Danio rerio: one gene and its partner. The protein of the gene in region 2 interacts with the protein of the main gene of each other region in a biochemical or structural test. Links are inferred from orthologs where the notes say so. Each region holds a gene or a part of one and is shown on either strand. Other genes may lie near its edges. The genes, in order: dkc1 and shq1.

Region 1 (11,345 bases), on a different chromosome or scaffold from region 2:
CAGGTATGAAGTCTTGGATTAACGTAATCGTCTCTTAAAAGAAAAGGAAAAACTCCACCTTATTTGAAAATAGGCTAATTTCACAGCTCCCCTAGAGTTAAACGAATGTTTTAGCTTAGCATAGGACATTGAATCAGATGAATCTGCTGTTGAACTCTAGCTTAGAGTGCGCCGTCTACTGGTAAACGCTAATCTAGAGCACCTTCTGTTGAACTCCAAGCTCAGAATCGACTAAATGCTGGCTTAGAGCATGCTGTCTCTGGTAAACGCTAGCTTAGAGTGTGCAATCTGCTAGTAAACGCTGGCCCAAAGCATGCTGTTTGCTGGTCGACTCTGGCCTAGAGCATGCCGTCTGCTGGTTAACGTAAGCCTAGAGTGCTGTCTGCCTGTTAATTGCTAGCCTAGAGCGCTGTATGCCGTTGAACGCTAGCCTAGAGCACCATCTGCTTGTTAAACGCTAGCCTAGAGTGCTGCCTGCCTGTTAAACGCTAGCCTAGAGCAGTGCCTGCTGTTAAGCTCTAGCCTAGAGCGCCATCTGCCTGTTAAACGCTAGCCTAGAGCGCCATCCGCCTGTTAAATGTTAGCCTAGAGCGCAGTCCGCCAGTTAAACGCTAGCCTAGAGCGCCGTCTGCCTGTTAAACGCTAGCCTAGAGCGCCATCCGCCTGTTAAATGTTAGCCTAGAGCACCCTCCGCCTGTTAAATGCTACCCTACAGTGCGTCTGCCTGTTAATCTCTAGCCTAGAGTGTGCCGTCCACTGTTAAATACTAGCCTAGAGCTATTTGTTAAACAATTGGCTCAATTGACTAAACTCTAGATACAGCGTCTGCTGTCCGACGCTAGCCTAGAGCGCCGTCTGCTGTCCGACGCAAGCCTAGAGCGCCGTCTGCTGTCCGACGCTAGCCTAGAGCGCCGTCTGCTGTCCGACGCTAGCCTAGAGCGCCGTCTGCTGTCCGACGCTAGCCTAGAGCGCCGTCTGCTGTCCGACGCTAGCCTAGAGCGCCGTCTGCTGTCCGACGCTAGCCTAGAGCGCCGTCTGCTGTCCGACGCTAGCCAAGAGCGCCGTCTGCTGTCCGACGCTAGCCAAGAGCGCCGTCTGCTGTCCGACGCTAGCCTAGAGCGCTGTCCGACGCCAGCCTAGAAAGTTGTCAGCCGTTAAACAATAGTCCAGAGTGCCGTCTGCCATTGAACGCTACCCTTGAGCTCCAATTACTGCTAGCCTAGAGCGCCATGTTAAACTCTACCCTGCTGTTTAACTTTACCCTAGAGCCTCATCTGTTAAATGCCAGGCTAAGAATCGTCACAAATGGTGATTTTAATCATAAAACTCTCGAATTTGATGCAGAATAAAGTTCTTGAATACAGTTTCATCACAGCTCTTCAACTTTGGTATATCGAGGCCTTTGCATGAAGCCACATGATGTGATGTAGATTGCATTAGCACTCTGTGCAAAGATGACTCGCTATCTATCACCCAAGACTGATGGCTTCTCAGAAAACACAAGCGTGTTGTAGATTTGCAAAACAGCTCTGACAAGTATTTCTATCATCCATCCTCCCAGGTCTGGTTTCATTAATCTGGACAAACCCGCAAACCCATCCTCCCATGAAGTCGTGGCCTGGATCAAGAGAATCCTTCGTGTGGAAAAAACGGGTCACAGTGGCACTCTGGACCCCAAAGTCACGGGCTGCCTGATCGTGTGTGTGGAGCGAGCCACACGACTGGTCAAATCCCAGCAGAGCGCAGGTACAGTATGATCACCGCAGCATACCCAGCTTCTTTACAGTAAATACCAGCACAGTTACATTAAAACTAGTGGCCTCTCCTTACTACTCTTGTGCCGTTACTTTCAGGCAAAGAGTATGTGGGCATAGTACGGCTGCACAATGCACTAGAGAACGAACACCAGCTAGCGAGGGTAAGTAGGAGTGTGTTCTGCTTTAAACACTTGATATTTTAGTTGAGCAGTCGAGCAGCTGTATACTCTGGTCTGGCTTTTTTATCTGCTAATTTTTATAACTTTGACACATGGGCTACATTCAGATTGTTTATGTAATTTATAGGGATGCACCGATATGGATTATTTGGCCGATATCTATAACCGATAACCTTTCAGATTTGGAGGCCTATATATATATATATATATATATATATATATATATATATATATATATATAAAGGCCGATAATTATAAATATTTCAAAATAATATATATTTATACAGTGAAAAACTGATTTTATTCAAAAAAAAAATCCTAATAAAAGACTGAACAGCTCCTATGAGCTAAGTAGTCTAAACTCAAAGCAAAAAAATAATTTCTAAATTTCAAGGTCATATAGACCTATATTCTCACATAAATTAGCATGCCAAAAATATATTCCTTTAATTTGCATAGCAACTTGACATGCAACTTGAATGTTGCATAAAAATAATAGGTTAAATGACATAATGTGATTTAATTAACCAACAACTTAAACATATTTTAAATAAAATGAAAATGAAAGCTAAAACCAGCTCAAATATTCTTGAATAAAACGTGTTGCAGTAATGTACAAATACGTAATGTCGAAAAATGCGTTTTGAGAGGCATTTTGATAGTTCTGAGCCACCGTACAAGCGAAAACCTAAATACTGATAGTATGATTTACTTCAAAAAATGCGGCTTAGATTTATCCTTTTTGGCATTTTAGATTCTTTTGAATGCATTTTAATGCTGTTGGTCAATCAGACGATGCTTTTATGTTCGTTCTTGCTATCAATTGCGGGAAAAATGAGCGATAAAGTTTGATTATGCTGTTAATATCAAGCATTGTGTGATGCGCGCACGCGAAGCGCAGTCAGAGTTTGATCCAACACCTGAGCGTCGAGCACAGATGATTTCATGACAAACAATTACATAATTTATCGGCTTAAAGATATCGGCCTAATTTAGACATCGGATCAGTAACAATCTTAAAAATAGCATTTATCGGCCGATAACTATATGGCCACCGATATATCGTGCATCCCTAGTAATTTATTTTGATCATATGCTACCCATATCTATTTTTTTACTCCATTATCTTCACTGCCCGATTGAGATAATAAGTTTCTCATATCAGACAAAAGTACTACATTACATTATTCATGTAAAATATAGATATTTTACCACAGTTTTTTTTTTCAATAGTTTCACTGCTCGCCTGATTTTACTGAAATCTGCATTTAAACAGCCCTTCATCTTGTTTTACACAAACGAATGCTTGAATCTGTTTACCTGATTATATTTTAAGTACATTATCTATGCTGTTAACCTTATGAAATTAAAATTGTGACAAATCTTGAAGTTTATTGGTGGCTGAGTAACACTTGCCATACATAAAGCCATGCAATGAACCCAAGTTATTAAACTCCAAGTGCTCATTTAAATAAAGTAATTAGTGCCTCAAGGGAAAAGCTGTGTGTTATTAGTGTGCATTAGTTGCTGTATGTGGCGTGATGAACCTGTTTATCCATTCTCTGAGTGTCTCCGTCCCTCTCTCCTGCTGGCCTCCGGCTCTCCGCTGCAGTGTTTTACTGTAGCGTAGGCTGCTGGAGGCTCATGCGGGGGTTTAGGGTTCGGTTTCACAAAAGAAGAACTGACATTTCTGATCACATACACATGGACTGTTAACCGTCAGAGGCTGCAGGAAATCTGAGACTGATTTTTGGTTGTTTTGTGCTTCTCCTCAGGCTCTGGAGTGTTTAACAGGAGCTCTGTTCCAGCGGCCGCCGCTCATCGCTGCTGTGAAGCGCCAACTGCGAGTGCGCACCATCTACGAGAGCAAGCTTATTGAATATGATCCTGAGAGAAGATTAGGTAAACTATTTTTTTAATGTCTTGTGTATGGACTTTATTTAAAAGGTTAGTTCACCCAGGAATAGACATTGTATTTAATTACTGAGCTTTATAGCTTCAAATGTGTAAGAACTTTATTCTTCTTTGGTGCTTAAAAGTATTTAGAATAAATCTAAGGCTCCACACACATATTTTTATGAACCTTTTCCCTCACTTTTGTTATTAAAAAAAACTCAAATAAAAACTCCATCCACATGAAAACGCAAACTCGCTGTGCATGTTTAGGGCACTGAACCGGCAGGCAGATATAATAACACTTGTGCTGGGTTCACACTAAATAAGAGAGGTGGATTACCATCATGTGGAGTGAAAACTGTGCAGAATGTGCCTCATTTACGTTGTAAACCCAGATGCATTGGCCAATCTGAAAGGAGAAAGCTGCACGCTGACTTCATGACGCCTTTTAGGCATGTATGAAGAGCAGCAGCAATGCACAGGCTTTCACTTTGGCTGCTTTGCAGTGTGCAGTAGATCAGGGGCTATTGCATAGATCAATCTATCAATCTTTTATTTATTTAATTTATTTAATTCTTTTATATATATATATTTTTTTACACTTCATCTGCAGATAAATAAATAGATAGGTAGATAGATATATACAGATTATATAGAGTGTAGTGTCCCCTTTACTTTTACTGGGGCATTAGGACTCACGAAGACCACAGGTTGAGCTCCCCCTGCTGGCCTCTAACACCACTTCCAACAGCAACCTAAGCTGCGTCCCAAATTGCATACTTATGCACTATTCTACGCCATTTTGTAGTATAATTAGTGTAGGTAGTGTGTTCACACTGAAAACTCTAAAAATCATAAGTGCACTTTAATTACCCGGATGATGCACTCATTCAGCCGGTAAAATGAAGTGTAGACCGATGGACACTTCATGCACTCAACGACCACAGGTTTGCTTGCGTAGCGGAAGGGGCGGAGCTATCGGACGCACATGTTGAATAACTATTTTGGATGGTGAAAGCAAAATTCTCCTAAGAGAGTGATTATAGCGCCTCCTGATGGTGAATTCGGTTATACTCACTGCAGGTATTATTTGATAATTCGGTCGTTTATTTTACTGATTTGGCAAACGTCATCAGGGAAACGGTTTGAATTTCCGCTTAGTAAAAAAAGTGTTCCATTTGGGACAACACTACATGCATATCCTATCCTGTTGAGTGGTTAAGTGTATGAGTGCATAGTGTGCCATTTGGGACGCAGCTCTAGTTTTCTCATGTGGTCTCCCATCCAGGTACTGACCAGGCTCAGCCCTGCTTAGCTTCAGTGAGTAACCGGTCTCGGGCTGCAGGGTGATATTGCTATGGCACGTGACAAGTAATTGGAAAAAATGGTCCTGGAATTATTATTATTTATATTTTATCTGCAGATTTATAGGTTCTGAATGTTGATTATTGCTTAATCGCCCAGCCCTACAGCATTGAAGAGAAACGAAAGTGAAATTTTGGGTGAACTATCCCTTTCAATAATGTTGAAGCCACATGATGTGATGTAGATTGCATTAGCACACTGTGCAGAGATGACCAGTTATCTATCACCCATGACTGATGGCTGCTATCCAGAGTAATGATCATTTCCAGTGTGAGATTGTCTGCATCCATATCTATATATATTCTCACTCGACAGGTATTTTCTGGGTGAGCTGCGAAGCGGGCACATATATCCGAACTCTGTGTGTGCATCTGGGTCTGCTGCTGGGGGTCGGCGGGCAGATGCAGGAGCTGCGACGAGTCCGTTCCGGTGTTTTGGGTGAAAAGGTACGAAGAGAACCTGTAGAGCCAAAGCGTTGAGTTCAGCTCTGGGTTTCTCCCCAGTTCTGCTAATTAATCTTTGGTACAGAAAATGGCTGAGTGGTGATCAACATGAAGGGGTTATACTTTGACCTCCTTTATTAAACCCTTCAGCCGACATGAACAAATGTTAAAGGATTGTACAGGCAGTAATGCAATACCATTTGCTGAATATAAGCAGCCAGAATAGGTCTGACAAGGAAAATCTAGTAATTGATTTCTCTTGCAGGATAACCTGGTGACCATGCATGATGTGTTGGACGCCCAGTGGCAGTTTGACCACAACAAAGACGAGACGTACCTGAGGAGAGTGATCTTCCCTCTGGAGAAACTCCTCATCTCCCACAAGAGGATCGTCATGAAGGACAGCGCTGTACGAAAACCTACACCCTACATTAATATTTAACAATCTTCATGTTGCACGCCACATGATGTGACGTAGATTGCATTAGCACACTGTGCGAAGATGACCAGTTATCTATCACCCATGACTGATGGCTGTAATGCAGCATGAGTTGTTCAATATGCAATGTTTAAGTATATTCGGCTGGCCTAACTAATTGTTTTGCATCAGGTGAACGCTATATGCTATGGCGCTAAGATTATGCTACCTGGCGTCCTTCGGTATGAAGATGGCATCGAGGTCAATCAAGACATTGTGGTTATAACTACTAAAGGAGAAGCCATTTGCACAGGTAAATGTCATCCTTTGAAACTTGTAGCATGCGCCATTCTCAGCCACATGATGTGATGTAGATTGCATTAGCATTGCTGCAAAGATGACCGTTTATCTATCACCCATGACTGATGGCTCTGCAAGACTTTACAGTTGAAGTATTAGGATTTGGATGGGTTTCAATGGTTTTATTTTCCTCCTTCAGCGGTTGCTCTGATGACCACAGCTGTAATATCCACATGTGACCATGGGGTTGTCGCTAAAATCAAGAGAGTCATCATGGAGAGAGACACATATCCACGCAAATGGGGTCTTGGACCAAAGGTAATGAACATTGAGAGAAATTTGACGCCATGATGTAGGCTTGAACTCTGGTTATATCAACTCAAAATTAACCCTGTAATCCAAACTAGTGCAATCAGGCTTTGTTGTAGAACGACGTTGATCACTTTGTTTACTCTGGAGTTCATGAGCATGTGCAGATGAAGGCAGGACAATAGTAGCAAGCAGCCAATCACATGCCTTGAAATTAAGATATTTAGATTTTTTTTAGTTTCTTCTGTGAGTAAATTAACAATTCGCAGCCAAAATGTGTAAGTGGAATTTAAAAATGCTTGTACGCTCATAAAAAGAGCTGCTAAAAGGAAGTCATTTTGGTTTATTAATGCAAATGAAGTTAAATCCAATCTCTCGGCAGTATAAAGTCACAGTTTTATCTAAAACAACAATTGTGTGTTCATGGGTCGGTATAAGATTCTGACAGTATCATAACCTTGGACAAAAATATCACAATATTGTTATTACTGCTCTAAAATATAATCTTTAAAAAAAAAAACAACAACATTTTTTTTCCCCCTTTTAAAAACAATATATATTTAAAAAAAAATTAAATTTAAAATATTCTGTAGCAGTAAACGTGTCAAATAATGAAAATGAATTATTGACTTGTGCTCTTTTCATTAGTTTCTAAAACACCGATTTCTTTACAATTTGAAACGGCATCTTTGAATATCTTTTCTGCTGGAGATACTGTTGTCCTAAAAACTAAAAGTAAATTAAAAAAATATATATTTTGGCTGTTTTAAAAACCTTTTTTTTTCCCAAACCATGGTATCCCTTCAAAACGGTTATCGTCCCATGCCTAGTTAATGGCAGAACCTATTGTATTTTCAGACCCGTAGCCAAGCAGAGGGGTATGTGGTTCAAAAGATCCACCCCCCCACTGACAAAGTCCATAATTTGGCCCCTTAATGAGCTCATTTGTCTCGATTTTGACAGTATGCCATAATAAATTGTGAAAATAATCGATAGAAGTAGGTTTTAAGGGTGCTTTCACACCTCCACTTTTGTTTGGGAACCTGTCTCATTTGCCCAGTTAGTGCTGTTCGTTTGGCATATGTGAAACCAGCAATCATGCTAGGATCTGTGCCAAATCAATCGCTCCGAAATCGTTTGAATGAGGTGGTCTCGGCTCGATTAAAACTTAACTTTGGAGCGGATCCATTGCAGTGAGAAAGCGATACGATCCGAGCGCGGTTATATCACTGTGTTTTATGGATATGTAATAGGCATACGGCGATATGAAGAGAGAATTATAGGGCGGGAAATTTCGCGAGTTTCCAGATGCCCGCAAACGTGTGATAATCTCCTGGTAATCTTGCGTCTTCCTCCCGGTCCTCAAATGGGCTACGTCGTGCATCATTCTCACCCCTCCCCACCCCGTCTCTCCTCACTCTACAGATGGACGCACCTTGTTAAACACCACCAAACCACCACCTCTCCTGACAGCTGACCGAGACTCTGCAAAATTAACCCTGACACTGACCAATGTGAGGAGAGTTTACTCACACGTGACTTGTTTTAGCTCTTTTGGTCCGTTTAGAAACTTTGCTGTGTGAAAGCGAACCGCGCCAAGAATAAAGAGCAACAATGTAACAATAGTAATCTCTATTTCGGAACAACTGAATCGATTCACAGGTGTGAAAGCAGCCTAAGATAGATAAAATTACATTTAAATGGACAAATTCTGACTTGCTGACCTGTTTATTTACCTATAGGGTAGTTTTTGAATTAAAACATGTTTTAACAGATTCCTAATTAGTTTTTTCATGATGAATAATACATTTAGTGTTTCATATTTCTTAATTTTAAAATGTTTAATTTTAAAAATCTAATTATTTTATTTTTCAAATGCACATTTGTAAAACACTTCATGGTTAAATAGTAGTATGGTGAGCACTTTGTAGGAAATATTTTTGTTGCACTAAAGTTTGATTATAATAATCAATCAACAAGCTAATCCAGAAAAGGTTAGTGCTTTAAAGCAGTGTTTGAAATTCATAATTTAATAGAAAATGAGGTGAATAACTGCAAAAAGGTCTTTATTTATTTTGAGAAAAGAACCACCCCTTTTAATAGTCTGCCGTATAGTTCAAATCCTAAGCACAGTGTGGTGTGTGATTAATTTAAATGTTACTGCTGGAAAGTCATTTTATTGGCTCCCTGTGTCTTGTTGTGGGAGTTTTTCTTAAGTCGGATATATCAAGTTAATGCTGAATCATTTTCTGCTTTTAGGACCCTCATAAATCCCTTTTTTTTTTTTTTTTTTTTTTTTTTTTTTTTTTTTTTTTTTTAACAAATTTAGTTTGGCTTCAGATGCCTCCTGCCTATTTTAAGTGAGTACGTAAAAATATGAAAGTTTGAGTCTGGAGATACGAAAGAGACAGCCTATTGAAATACAATAGCTTAAATGTCTTTGTGGTCTCTAAACTAAAGCATATTAGCAGTACAGCATAATATACAATGGCAATCCAAAATTATTTAAATGTTCCTGCTGCCTAAAATCCAGAATTGGTGCGTGTTTAAACAGGCTAGCCAGCTAATCCATCTTCATGGTACACGCCCCAGAGTAAATGTTAATAATGATGTACTATTTAAATGTGGCAACTCCTGCATTTCAGGCCAGCCAGAAGAAAATGATGATCCAAAAGGGACTTCTAGACAAACATGGCAAACCAAACAACAGCACACCTTCAGACTGGAAAGAGGGCTATGTAGACTACAGGTATGCATGTTTCCGTGTTCGCACACATTCCTGCAGACTGTTATCCCTTTTTGTTCTGCTGTGAGCCTAGAGGGAGTCTGTCTGCTAAAGCAAAACCCTGAGCTCAGGCTAATGCTGTCTGCACGATGTGTGCACGATGGACACCTGAGCTCTGTGGACATCTGCATAACTCTTCCTGATCCTGATCTTTCTTTTAATGATCACTTGTGCAGGTTTACACTGACTGCATTAATGCAGGCTAAACGTGTAGCAACACAAAATGCCTTTAATAATCTTAAGAAAGCATTTTGGTGCCTTCACAACTTCTGTCGTCATTATATTTTACACGAAAGCCAAAATGTTTTTATGTAAGATCTATATAGAGGCGATCTCTTATTCGTTATTAATCATGCCTTTTAAACTGTGGGTTGTGATCTTAGCACCCCTAGATATTAGTAAGAGTATTGTTCGTTGTATAGGATATCTATAAGCTAGTGTGCTCAAACAGTAGATGTTTATATCAGGGTCCCCGCGGGGTCTTAAAGTATTAAATCTTAAATTAAAAAAATTGACATTTATGGCTTTAAAAAATCTTAAATTTGTTGTTCTTGGTCTTAAATATTTTTGCACAGGTCATATTTTTGCGATGTCCATGTAACGCTACATCTAATGCTCATTTAAATTCTTGTTGTTGTTGCTTGGTTTTTGGGGTTGTTGTAGTTTTATGACTATTATTACTTTATTTTACTAGTCCAATTGTAATTTTCTGTTTTACAACTGCAAAAAAGTCAACTTGCAATAGCCAATCAGCTTTCTGATATTAAACTCAAATGTAACATCATCGCTGTGTTTGCGGAAGTTCACTTTGAGTGCGCGCGACATGATTTCGGCTGGCAGAGTATGCCGTTATTTCACTGACAAATGTCGCAAGTGCAGTTTTATAAGTCGAGAGCGCTGAATAACGAGAGAGTGAATCTCTGCTCACGCGCCGGTTTCCTTTGTTCATGGACAAAACTGCTTGCGAGCTCTCAAAACACTGGCTGCTCACGTGCAAATGATCTGCTCTCGCTCCGTCGGACTCCTTTCGTGCTTTTCCAGAGAAGCTTCAGCATACTGTAGTAGTAAGAATAGTGAACTGATAAAATGAAATACAGTTTAGTTTTACTACATGTAAGTGTGTTGAATTGTTGAAAAATATACCCCATATTGTAAAAAAAAAAAAACTAAAGCACTGGGTAGTTTGTTTTTAATACAATTTGTTACCATAGCAACCATAGTATTACCACAACAGAGTAATTGAAGTACTTTACAAAACACTGTACAGCAGACACTAGTTCACTTTATTTTAGTGATAAAATGGGATTGATAGTGGGATTTATTTAAAGAGTGAATAGTACAGTATAATACAGCTATAATACCTTATCTAATTTTTACCCATTTTCTATCACAGCTACATTTCTGCTTGCCAGAATGACCAATATTTATTGGCTAGAAATTGCAACAGCCATGGGAAAGGAGGAAAGTTTTTGTAAAACTTTGGAAAAACTCTGAGGGATGAGTTTGTTAAAACAAAAAAAGAGGCCCCCAAACACATCTTCAATGATAATGATTATCATTTTATTTGTCTGATTTTACTTTGTTTTTTTGGAGCGCCCCCTGTCATTTAAAAAAAAATATCTCAATGGTGAACGTGTCAAGTATAAAAGCCTTAATCCGTTTCGTGAGTTGTGCGGTGCCAGGTGAAAGTATAAATCTGCATTAAGATGTTTGTGTTTCTGTAGTTCAATGGTGCATTTAACCTGACTTCACTACTGTTCAATTTAAATAACTTTATTTTACCCCTAATTTTGTGCTTTTACATTTTCTTTCTGGTGTTTTTGATATTTCGATATAGCTCTTAAATTTAATACTTAATGGTCTTAAAAGGTGTTAAATTTGACATTGTTATCT
Region 2 (11,916 bases):
AAATTAATGAATGCATAACAATCATGATAACTATGAATATTCCTCCGACTATAATCGCAAAACCAAAATCTACAATCGTTGCATCCCTATTTGACAAATATTTTGGGAAAATGTTTTGGAATTTTTCGAAATCTTAACAATACACTGGGAAAATGTACTACCGTTTCATTATGCTCGAGGGTGTTTTTGCCCCATTGACTTACATTATAACAACCTTTATTGATTGCAAAGCCATGACACCAAAAAATCACGCATTATTGATTATTGGTTGTTTTCCTTATTGGAATGAGGTAAAATTTGCGCTTTGTACTGTTGATCATTAGTTACAGAGCAAAAAAAAGTTTAGTTACTGGCTTTTATATGAAGTATAGTGTGTGTATGTGTGTTAATAAAAAATAGCAAAGGCGACATAATGACTCAGTGGTTAGCACTGTCGCTTCAAGAAGGTCACTGATTCGAGTTCCAGCTGGCATTTCTGTGGCGTTTGCATGTTGTCCTCGAGTTTGCGTGGGTTTCCACCACAGTCTAAAGACATGTGCTATAAATGAATTAAATCAACTAAATTGGCCGTAGTGTACGAGTGTGTGTGAATGAGTGTATACGGGTGTTTCCTAGTACTGGGCTGCGGCTGGAAGGGCATCCACTGTATAAAACGTATACTGGAATAGTTGGCAGTTCATTCTGCTGTGGTGACCTCTGAAATTGAAACTGAAATGAATGATTGAAAAATAATCAGCTCAGCTCTCATTACATAGTAAGCATAGCAAGTGTATTAATGCAGTCACACTGTAATTTGCTGTTTTGCTCCATAGAACTCCATATAAAAGCCAGAACCTTTTCTAAAGGGGTCATGGTGCCAGCTGATGATCAACAGAAAAAATTAAACATTTGATCTCTTCTCAACAGGGAAAACCACCAACAGTCAAGAATGTATGATCATTTGGTGTCATGGCTTTGCAATAAAAAAGTGGTTATAATAGAAGTCAATGGGGCAAAAACAGCCACGAACATAACGACAGGTACTAGTCATTTTGAACAATACACAAGGGATAATAAAATAATAATAAACGACCCTTGTTTTGAAAAGGCGTTATTGAAATGAATGACCAAATTTTATCAAAGAAATTACCATTGGATCCTAAGATTTTTATTCCGGGTATATAGGCTGTCAGCCCTCTCCTATAAAGCAAAGAAGTCAGATTCATAGCAATGTGTATTTTACAGGCTAAATGTATTTTTGCTCTTAATTGGAAAAATATAAATGAACCTAGAATTGGAAAGTGGATTAATGAAATGGTGCCACATATGTCAATGGAAAGGATCACATGTATTGTCAAAAGAAACAAAATGTGTTTGAAGATATTTGGAGACCTTTTATTAACCTTCTAAAGTACAATGTAAATGTTGGCAGTCTACTACAACAAGAACAAGCTCTGAGGGAGTAGGAGAGTTTCATGGTCCAAACTCGAGAAATACTCTTTACCTGATTTAAACATGATTTTTTTGGGAATGGGTTGATGAGAGAGAGAGAATAGGGTGAGAAATGTTTGCTGTGTCTACATGATTGATATTCTGTAACTGTGTAATCTGTTGTGATATGCAAACTGAAAAAGTAATAAATATATCTTGTACAAAAAATACCCTTGTTTTACAAGTTATCTTTCAATGGTCTTAAAAATTGTTCCCATTATTTGCCAAAAGTTAGTGCTTTTCTCTAATTTTCACTTGTTAACACCTTTTAGAGGAAGATAAGACAGGAAATTATGAAAAGGAATATGATTCAATACATGTCTTTGATGTTTTTTTACTAGCGCAAAGTAGGAATTAATGGAAATTGCTAAATTATGGGGACGAAAAAAGCTGAGTTTCTATTGCACACATTACTGTGCTTGATACAACCTTGCAATAAAAAAAAACTCAAATTTTAGACCCTACTGGGAGATTAAAACAGTGTAATGTTAAAATGACAGTAATTGCGTTGACTGTAGTCCTTCCAGATTTGTGAAAGATTTATAATTACTCGTTACTCAGTGTAAACACTGAAAGCAATTAGACGTTTTTTATGATAGACTACTGCTAAATTATTCACTGGCTGTCGATCAAAGAGGACAAGCTGAAAAGAGGCCAAGGAGATGTCAGAAACAGGATCCCATGGCCATTATTTAGCAACTGGAAATGCTAATGCTATTAGGAGAGCAGGCTGACAGCTTGAATTTGATGTAGAAACTGTAAAATAATAACAAATGAGCTGACTGGCTGCAATCTTTCAAACCAAAAAGAAATGTAGAAATGCTACTGTTGTTGCATAGCATCATTTATTTTTAATGAGTCTTTGGTCAAGAATGCAGCTCAAATACACAGTTAAAATATAAAGACAAAAGCTTTCTGAACATTTGCCTCCACAATTTTAGAGGCTTGAGCTTAAACTGTCAACCTAAGATTTTAATCAAAAGTAATAGAAAGGAATTTCTCACACACAATATTTTTAAAGGGATAAAGCACCCAAAAATGAAAATGTACTCATCATTTACCCACCCTCAAAAGGTTTTATGTGTTTTTCTTTTTCTGTTGAACACGAAAGAAAAATTCTGGAAACTAAAAAAAACAAATACCATGCAAGTCAATAGTTAAATGTTTTTTGACATTTTTCAAAATAACTTCTTTTAAATACAACAGAAAAAAAACTCAGAACAGGTTAGAGATAAGTGAAAGTCGAGTAAATGATCACAGAGTTTTCAGTTTTGGGGGAACTATCCATTTAAGACCATTTTAATTTACACACTTGTGCTGTCAGACTGTGCAGTATTGCTCTATTTCAGCGTGGCTGTAATTGGAATCACAGTCATGCTAATACTGAACATTTCTTTGTGCAATATTGATTATATATTACACTAATCACCAAGCTATTAATTAATTCCACAAGAACTGTAAGAAAAGGTAAGCTTTACCTTTTATCGTCTGGTAGGGTTTACTTTTTTAAGAACATCCATTTTATTTCGTCCCACATTGTTGTTGTTGTTTTTTTAGATATATACAGCTTACTCAAAAGTTTACATAACCCGTTCGAAAACAACTGTATATATTTTTTTAGAAAGTGAATAATTTTACCAAAATGTGCATTGTTTTTAAATTTAGCGCTGTCCTGAGTAACATATTGTACATGAAACAAAATTACCTATAGCTCACTACACAAGAATTTTGCAGAAACAAAATGTTAATAACCCCTAGCAAAACTGTACATATCCTTGCTTTTTAATACGGTGTGTGGTTTCCTGATGATCTATGAGTGCTTTTTTTGCTTTGTGATGTTGTTCACAAGTGTCTTGTTTGTTCTGAACAGTTAAACCAACTGCATCTTCAGCACATTCTTCAGTTTTCCAGTGAACTGGATGTAAACTTCTTTTAAGTAAAATATCCTACTCAGAACGGTACTAAACAGAAATAACATCCATTTGTTCAATCCATTTTGTATCATCTCAGATTTTATTAAAACTTTTCACATTTTAACAAATACTTCAAGTGGTGTGTAAACTTTTGAGCACAACTTTATAACTACAATGAGAAAAACTGGTTCAATTAATAATAACTGCTTCTAAAATAGCTTAGTAATAGGTTGAGTAAAGCTAGAGAAGAACATTTGAAGAAACGGATTTCTACAACAATTTTGCTGCTTCCGCTGAAGCTTGCTTATGTGTTTTTTTTTTTTTTTTGGTCAAGAAACTGTCAAGTGTCTGTGCTCAAAGGTATTGAAGAGCAAATAAAAACAGTTTTCAGTTGCTTTCCGAGAGACCCGCAGGAAAAACAGTAACAAAAAGTGATTGTTACCTTTATCGATATCGAATGAAGCTTTTTCCCGTCCATCTTCAACTATTCTCCCAGGCAGAGTCAACCTTCAGAGCAAGTATTAACAATAACAATATATTAACATTTGCACTACAACATGTTTATGCATTTATTTGCAATTTGCATTCTAAAACTAAAAGTCAAATTCATAAATGTCCCTGTTTTACATGAACAAACATAAAACCAAGCCGCTTCTAAAAACAAATGATCCTATGCAATGATCCTTCTCTCTAGTAGACTCTAGTGAAAGGCTTTGATTCACTTTAAATGGTAACCAGTGTATTTACGACCAATCTCAGAATGTTCCAAATTGAGTAGTTTCTGCAATAATTTTCAAAGGAGTTTATTATTCATTTTAATTGTGGATAAGCCGTTTAAATGCTTTTTTAGGGCTCTGTCCTAGCAAGTAAAAATCTTTGTAAATGCTTTTTCCTGTAACAAAATGTCAATCAACGCATTTGCAGAGTCACCTGAGAAAGTAGGGCTTGGCATAGAACTTAAATTCCTCCTCTTGGATGTAGATGTCGAAATCTGATGTTCTGGTGTAGGGTACACGAATAACTACAATGAGGAAATCTGCATCTTGACTGAGTTCAAATGCCGGCGTTATCATGATTATACACTGTGAAGTACTGCAACAACAAGACAGAAAAAAACAAACAATTAGTGATTATTATTCAAAAATGGACAAAAGTAATCCTAAAGAATTTTTTTTAATTACATTTTCAAATTATTTCCTATGCCAAGTTATAATATAATATAACATAATTAGTGCTGTGCAAAAATTAATTGCAACTAATCGCATCCAAAATAATAGTTTGATATAGTTTGAGTGTATGTACTGTGTATATTTATTATTTTTATGTAAATACACAGGCATGTATATATTTGAGAAAATGCTTATTTATATTTAGATATAAAAAATATTTGTATATGATACAAATTATATATAAACATTTAAGTATCTGCAACAAAATAGATTTGTATAGTTTTGTTTCTATGCATGTATCAAAACAAACTTTTATTTTGGATGCGATTAATTAGGATTCATTTTTGCACAACACTAAACATTATATAATATAATGCTACTACACAATAAACTCAATTAAAATTAAATCGAAAAAGAATATTTAAAAAACTAATAATAATATAATATAATAAAATAATTTTATTCATTTTCTTTTCGGCTTAGTCCCTTTATTAATGCGGGGTCGCCACAGCAGAATGAATCACCAATTTATCCAGCACGTTTTATGCAGCGGATGCCCTTCCAGCTGCAACCCATCACTGGAAAACATATATAAAGACTCATTCACACACATACACAATGGACAATTTACTCTATTCACCTATACCACATGTCTTTGGACTTGTGGGGGAAATCGGAGCACCCAGAGGAAACCCACATGGAACACAGGGAGAACATGCAAATTGCAAACTCAACAAAACTGACTGGGCTAAGACTCGAACCAGCGACCTTCTTGCTGTAAGGCGATTGTGCTAGCCACTGCACCACCACGTAGCCAAAATAAAATCAATATTTCACAAAATTTTAAAGAATCAATTAATATCTTCTTTTATGTGTTAGTATTGTATCTCTAAATAGGAAACTACAACAATAATCAAACATCTGACATTACATCAGTTACATCATTACATCATCATTGGCTTTTATATTCACACATTCAGACTTTCTCGTTAATAATATAATTTCATAAAAGTTTTCTTTGCTAATTCTAAATATTGAATCATATTAGCAGCTAATGACTATCAAAATACAACAATGTTCACAGTCAACTGAATAGTGTTGATGTTGTTTTGAAGTCATACTAGCATGTCATTTCAGACCGAATATTCAAAGTACCATGGTAAACAAAATAGGGAGGATTTCACAAGTTGTCACTGAACAAATGTGCGAATATAAAACCAACATAACTCAATCAAATAATCAACTCAAACTCAAAAAATCAACTAGCCATGGTCCATCTGACAAAAAGTCAACATGTGAGGAGTAAAAGAAAAGAAAAGGGCAGCTTACAACTCCACCTTGTGGTTACTCCATTAGTTCTCAATAAGAAATATTGTAAACAACCCCTTTGCCAACTAGTATTTTAGACACAGTTAGCTTTACATTAACATTATCATATTCAATACAACTCTATTAAACAGTCAATAAGCATTTTTAAAAGGACAAAATACCAAAATAAAGGAAAACCACGCAACAAGAAGATAAAAGTCGCTATATTGATTTAATACGTGCTCACAGCCAAAACCACAGCCAAATCAGTCAATTAAATGATGAAAGATGATAAATCCCAATACAGACAAGAAGATGCCAAAACCTATGTCTACCTTTTTGTTTATTCAATGTTTATGCCAACGTAAAACAGGCAAGACAAGACACACTAAATGCAGTATTTAAGTTATTACGTTATTCATTAATATAATGCGATATAAAAGACACAAATTACAACAACATAAAACAAAACGTTTCATACCTTCACGCGTTTTCTGTGAACAGTTAAATGCGCTAAACAACATCAGTAACACATATGCAGCACATGGATTGTCTGCTTCCTGCTTTCTCTGATGGCCATGTTTTACCGTAATGCCACATATAAAGGCGGCATAAAATAATACGCGATATTTTTCAAAAAAATACAACACCGTGAAGGTTTGAGGATTTTGATGATTATAGAGACTGTAAATCAAATCCCCCAAAAACTCAGAATCATAAAAGTGGAATATTAAAAAGATCTAAAGATTTTAGCCTTAAGGGAATGTTCACCCCAAAATGAAAATTCAATTACTATTTACTCACCTGCATGTGGTTCTAAACTTTTATAAATGTATTTGGATGATGTGATGGTAGCCCCCGGACAATTACACCAGTGCGGTCACCACACACCAACTATAAGAGGAGTAAAGAGACAGTGATAGAGCCAACTCAGTAGATGGAGATGATTGGGAGGCCATGTTGGGTAAGGGCCAGTGGAGAGAATCTGGATGTAGGTTACACCCCTACTCTTTAAAAGAAGTGCTATGGGATTTTTAATGATCACAGAGAGTCAGGACCTTGGTTTTACGTCTCATCCGAAAGACGACGCTCATTGACAGTAAACTGTCCCCTTCACAACTAAAAAAAAAGCAGGATGAGGGAAGTAAATCATAACAGAATATTCATTTATTATGAACTATCCCTTTAAAGGGTCAAAAATACATTTAGGGCTACAGGAAAACTATATAAACATTAATACATTTTTTAAAATAACCCCATATTGGTTAAAAAAACTCAGGTCATCCAATATGTTAGTTATTTTACTTTATTTGTCCCTGTATGCTGCAAAATAAATTTTACAAGCAGGCTACAGTAAATAAACAAAAAGTTGAATATAGATGTAAATAAAACTAAAAAGACAATTATACACTAAAAAATGCCATTTTAAATTAATTTCTGATTTGCAAGGTTTTATAAGACACAATAAAAGGCATATTTTTGTTAAAGATTACTTATCATACTTGCGACTTGTAACATTAGTCAGTTTGTTAGAAGGGATATTTTTTTACTTATTATTATTATTAATTCATTAATTAATGGTGAATTTTTTTTCGTCTGTATGCAGTTATTCTCTGATATTATGGTTAAGTGTACTTCATTTGGTATTTATTTTATTTATTTATTATATTGTCGCTGGTTCGAACCCAGGCTGGGTCAGTTGGTATTTTCTGCGTGGAGTTTACATGTTCTGTGTAAAACATATGCTGGATGGGTTGGCAGTTCATTCCGCTGTGGTGACCCCAGATTAATAAAGGGACTAAGCCAAACAGAAAATGAATGAATGAATGAATGAATTTCAAACTAACTCCACATGGATGACCTAAGTTTTTTAACTATCCCTTTAAATATATTGCAATGCAGTTTAAAATCTAATTTAAAAAAGCATAAAAAACGGCACTACAGTAAATAAGCAGAAATAGGAGGAATAAGATGAATATAGATATAAACAAAACAAACAAAAAAAGACAATTATACATTAAGAAATGCAATTTAAAAAAAAAATTCTGGTTTTGCAAGGTTTGATGAGATACAGTAAATGCATATTATAATTAAAGTTTACACCGCATACTAACAACTTGTAACATTAGTCATTTTGTTGGAAGGAAGTTTTGTTTTTACTTAGGCTATTATTATTAATTAATTCATTCCTTTTTTTCCATCTGTATGCAGTTATTCTCTGATATTATTGTTAAGTGTTAATGTACTTCATTTGGTATTTATGCATTTTTATATTTATTTTTCTTGTTTTGTTAATTGGGTTAATGAATGAGGGGTTAGGGGATGTGATTAACAGTGGACAATAACTTACTGTTTACCTCACAATAATTAATTTTGTCACACAAAAGACTAATAAAAAGATTAAAAATAAAATAAAGATAACATCACAATGAATAACATTATAGTCATAATATAAAAAAAAATATCCTCCTGACAGCAAAATAATATACTTAATAACTGTAACAAAGCAGTTTTAATAAGATATACCATTTGTTTGGCTCAGTGGTTAGCACTGTTGCCTCACAGCAAGAAGGTCGCTGGTTTGAGTCTCGGCTGGGTCATTTGGCACTTCTGTGTGGAGTTTGCATGTTCTCCCCACATTGGTTTCTTTTGGGTGCTCCAATTTCCCCCCATGCAATATGGGTGAACTGAATAAACTGAATTGACTGTAGTGTATGAGTGTGAATGTTAGTGTATGGGTGTTTCTCAGTATTGGGTTGCAGCTGGAAGGGCATCCATTGCGTAAAACATATGCTGGAATAGTTGGAGGTTCATTCCGCTGTGGTGACCCCTGATGAATAAAGGAACTAAGCCAAAAGAAAATGAATGAATGGATATACCATTTATTTTGTACTTTCATTGCGCTGGAGTGCATTACAAGTATTACGGTAAGGAGAGTAAGGTCCGCCTTCAGAGATTCATTTACGTGAGAGAGATCGGCGCTAAGCTGAGCAGCATCGTCTTCATCATCACACACAGTACAAATGAAGAAGTATGGCTGCACACTACAAATATGTCCCCTTGTTTTAACCAGAGCCATGGTTAAAACACCCCACCGCGGACGGAGCACTTTTTCACCATGAGGATTCACTGCAAGGTTGTGGCCATCGCGGTGTGCTTCGGAGTTTTTCTACTTTTGTACTTTTTCGGGGGGAACGCTGCGGACGAGCCGCCGCTGAAAGAAGTTGCGAAAGAAAAACATTTTCCATCATTCGGTAATTTCGAGGACATTGTCCTTCTGAAAGGTGCGAAACAAACCAACGAGGAGCCACAGAAACCACCGAAACTAATCCGCAAAGAGCCCAAGTTGAGCAGCAGGAGAGCAGAGAATGTCATCGCGAAGACTCGGTAAGACATTCTTCAAGTGCAAAAATCATGATCAACAATATGTATGATCCAACAACAGAATGTGTGCAAGTGTGTTTTATTATGTCTGATATCAGTTTTTCATAATACATCACATAATGTAAAACAATGCATTTTTCTTCCTTCTCGAGTTAACATCCTTTCAACTGCTTTAAAATCAGTGCATGTGTTTGATCCACAAGGGAATTTATGACTTGGATTTGCATAAAATTTTCTGTGATTTGTACATAACAACACGTTTTATTAACAATTAATAAACCACTGATCTTTTTCTGGATGTCAACACAGCCAATCCAACCAGACATACTTGTCAAAAAGCCTGCTGTGACAAAGGACATTTTGGCAAGAATGTCTTGAGCTGATTGTGCAATCTTTAGATTTCTTAATACAGCAAGACAGATAATCGTGCATGGCATCATTTCTGCACTATCCACACCAGATTGTGATGCACTAACGTCTTAAATGTTGCCAGAGAGCAGTGTGCTTTGTGCATGCTACAAAGCCCAGTCCAAGAGCCCCCTGTGAGCATCTCATCCATGATTATCTCAATTGTATTTTCATTATGGCTTTATTAAAAAGGTCACCTTGAATGCAGTTGCCTCGTTCCCAAAGGGTCTCAATAGAGGACAAAATCAATGATTGGTTGTGAGTAAAAGCAAACAGTCCCTAGAGACCGGAAGATGGAGTGGTTTATTTATTAAGACCGTCCGCCCTTCTTGAAACATAATTAAAAAGAGTTTCTCCCACATTTAGCCTATAGGTGAACAGTATTTTAATGTTAAAATATAAGAACCCCAATGTTCAGTTCAATCCAAGTTGTGCTTTTCACAATAATTATCATACCAATGTTGCTTAAAAGGTGCATGTTAATACATTACAATCCATTCAGACAGATTTCAGACGTTGTGTATAGGGTGGACCGTATATATACATATACACACATGGTAACCTGCAGTTATACAATAATATAGATTAACCAAGGCTGACCGACATGACAAAAATCTCATATCATGATATAAGTCATCTCATATCCTGCCTGATACCAAAATATACATATATTCATCAGTTATTAGTTTAAATATATTAACCACATGGAAAGAACTATTTTTTCTTACAATGTAAAGTATATACAATACTCATATTTGTACTCATTCATATGTGTTTTTTTTTTACATTATTTATAACTAGGGCTGCACGATTTTGAAAAATGACATTGCAATGTTTTGTTTTTCTGCGATAAATATTGTGATTAGGTATGGGCCGCTTTAAGATTTTAACGGTATGATAACCTTCGATAAAATATCAGGGTTTTATGGTATTGTGAATATATTCGTTTTAATAGTCTGGGTAAAAACAAAAACTTTTTTCCGCTTTAAACACAATAGCTGTGTCCGAAATCACATACTTCCATTCTACATAGTATGCTAAAAATAGTATGCGAGCGGAGTAGAATGTCTGAATTCATAAAATTTGAAAATGCGAGAAGTACCTGGATGGCATGCTACATTCGACGCCATCACACTACATTCATACTATACAGAACATACTGTTTTATTGGTCAAGTTAGTAGTATGTTTAAATTCAAATGCATTAACTACTGAGTAGTAGGTGATTTTGGACACAGCCAATATATTTTATTTTGAGAAACATTAAAATATTTTGGAGCAGTAAACATGTCAGGCTAAATAATTCATTAGTTTCAAAAATACTGATTTCTTTACAATTTAAAATGGCATCTTTGGACACTTTTTCAGCTGGAGATACCATTGTCCAAAAAACTAAACAAAAAAAGCGTAAAAATAAATCATTTCCAAACCGCTTTATACCTTAAAAGCTGTTATTGTCCTATGCCTAATTGTGATAAGAAAGAAAATTTACAAGATGTCTCTATTTGGAAAGATTTCTGTATTTTATACTGATTGGAATGATTTATAGTTGAGTGTATCTGCAAAAATATTCAAAAATTCAGCAAAAAAACAAAAAAAAAAAACACACAGATGAAAACAATAGGACAAAGATAGAAAAAAATAACTAAGCAGTACATTATGGTTTTCAGTTGGAATTTAACAGTGTTAAAGTACAGAAATGCTTTAATCAAATGTAAAATAACATTGACCAGTTTTTATTCTATTGCATTAAAAAACTAAACACTATTAATCTTTATGAAAGCGGCAAACGGGGTTTAAATTCTCATGAAATCACAAACATAATCTAAATAAAAGTCTTTCATATTATTAAATTACAACTAAACTTTGCAATGACTCTACAAATTGCATGTTCTGAACTGTGTTTTCTGGTTAATTGTGGTACCAGTTTGACATTGCAAATTTCTATTGTCGATGTGACTATTGCAGATTCGCAAATTGCGATATCGTTGCTAAATTATATATTGTGTAGCCCGATTTAGAACTTAATTACAAATGTTTAATTAAAAATGTGTAAATCGAAAATATAAACCACTTTTCAAAACAAATGATCACAGATCCAACTTTGAAAAATATTGCTAAATAAAATGCAAAATGTAAAGGCCGTACTATTTTAAATGGCGTGTAATATTGTGCTCATATAAATGGAGAAAACGTTTTACCATAAACAACGTACTTTGTGACTCAAGAAATAAACGATACAGCATAATCAGCCTGATCGTATGA

Evidence for each region.
Region 1: the proteins of shq1 (region 2) and dkc1 are reported together in a solved structure, tested with the Homo sapiens proteins (2 studies listed by BioGRID, with this or other methods). The link is inferred for Danio rerio from reciprocal best matches to the Homo sapiens genes SHQ1 and DKC1.

The regions. Positions count from the first base shown.
Region 1 is NC_133196.1:47,452,770-47,464,114, forward strand, and holds part of dkc1 (H/ACA ribonucleoprotein complex subunit DKC1), read left to right. Parts: coding exon 1-3; intron 4-1,411; exon of another isoform or gene 1,412-1,488; intron 1,489-1,561; coding exon 1,562-1,746; intron 1,747-1,853; coding exon 1,854-1,918; intron 1,919-3,711; coding exon 3,712-3,838; intron 3,839-5,362; exon of another isoform or gene 5,363-5,439; intron 5,440-5,512; coding exon 5,513-5,643; intron 5,644-5,662; exon of another isoform or gene 5,663-5,799; intron 5,800-5,905; coding exon 5,906-6,049; intron 6,050-6,099; exon of another isoform or gene 6,100-6,176; intron 6,177-6,250; coding exon 6,251-6,371; intron 6,372-6,413; exon of another isoform or gene 6,414-6,489; intron 6,490-6,557; coding exon 6,558-6,676; intron 6,677-8,938; exon of another isoform or gene 8,939-9,312; coding exon 9,313-9,416; exon of another isoform or gene 9,417-11,020; intron 11,021-11,204; exon of another isoform or gene 11,205-11,345.
Region 2 is NC_133181.1:46,677,570-46,689,485, forward strand, and holds the start of shq1 (protein SHQ1 homolog), read right to left. Parts: upstream 6,435-11,916; 5' UTR 6,342-6,434; intron 4,476-6,341; 5' UTR 4,457-4,475; coding exon 4,314-4,456; intron 3,891-4,313; coding exon 3,826-3,890; intron 1-3,825. Other genes in the region: gxylt2 (glucoside xylosyltransferase 2 precursor), read left to right, coding at 8,979-9,247. UniProt on the Homo sapiens protein: Required for the quantitative accumulation of H/ACA ribonucleoproteins (RNPs), including telomerase, probably through the stabilization of DKC1, from the time of its synthesis until its association with NOP10, NHP2, and NAF1 at the nascent H/ACA RNA.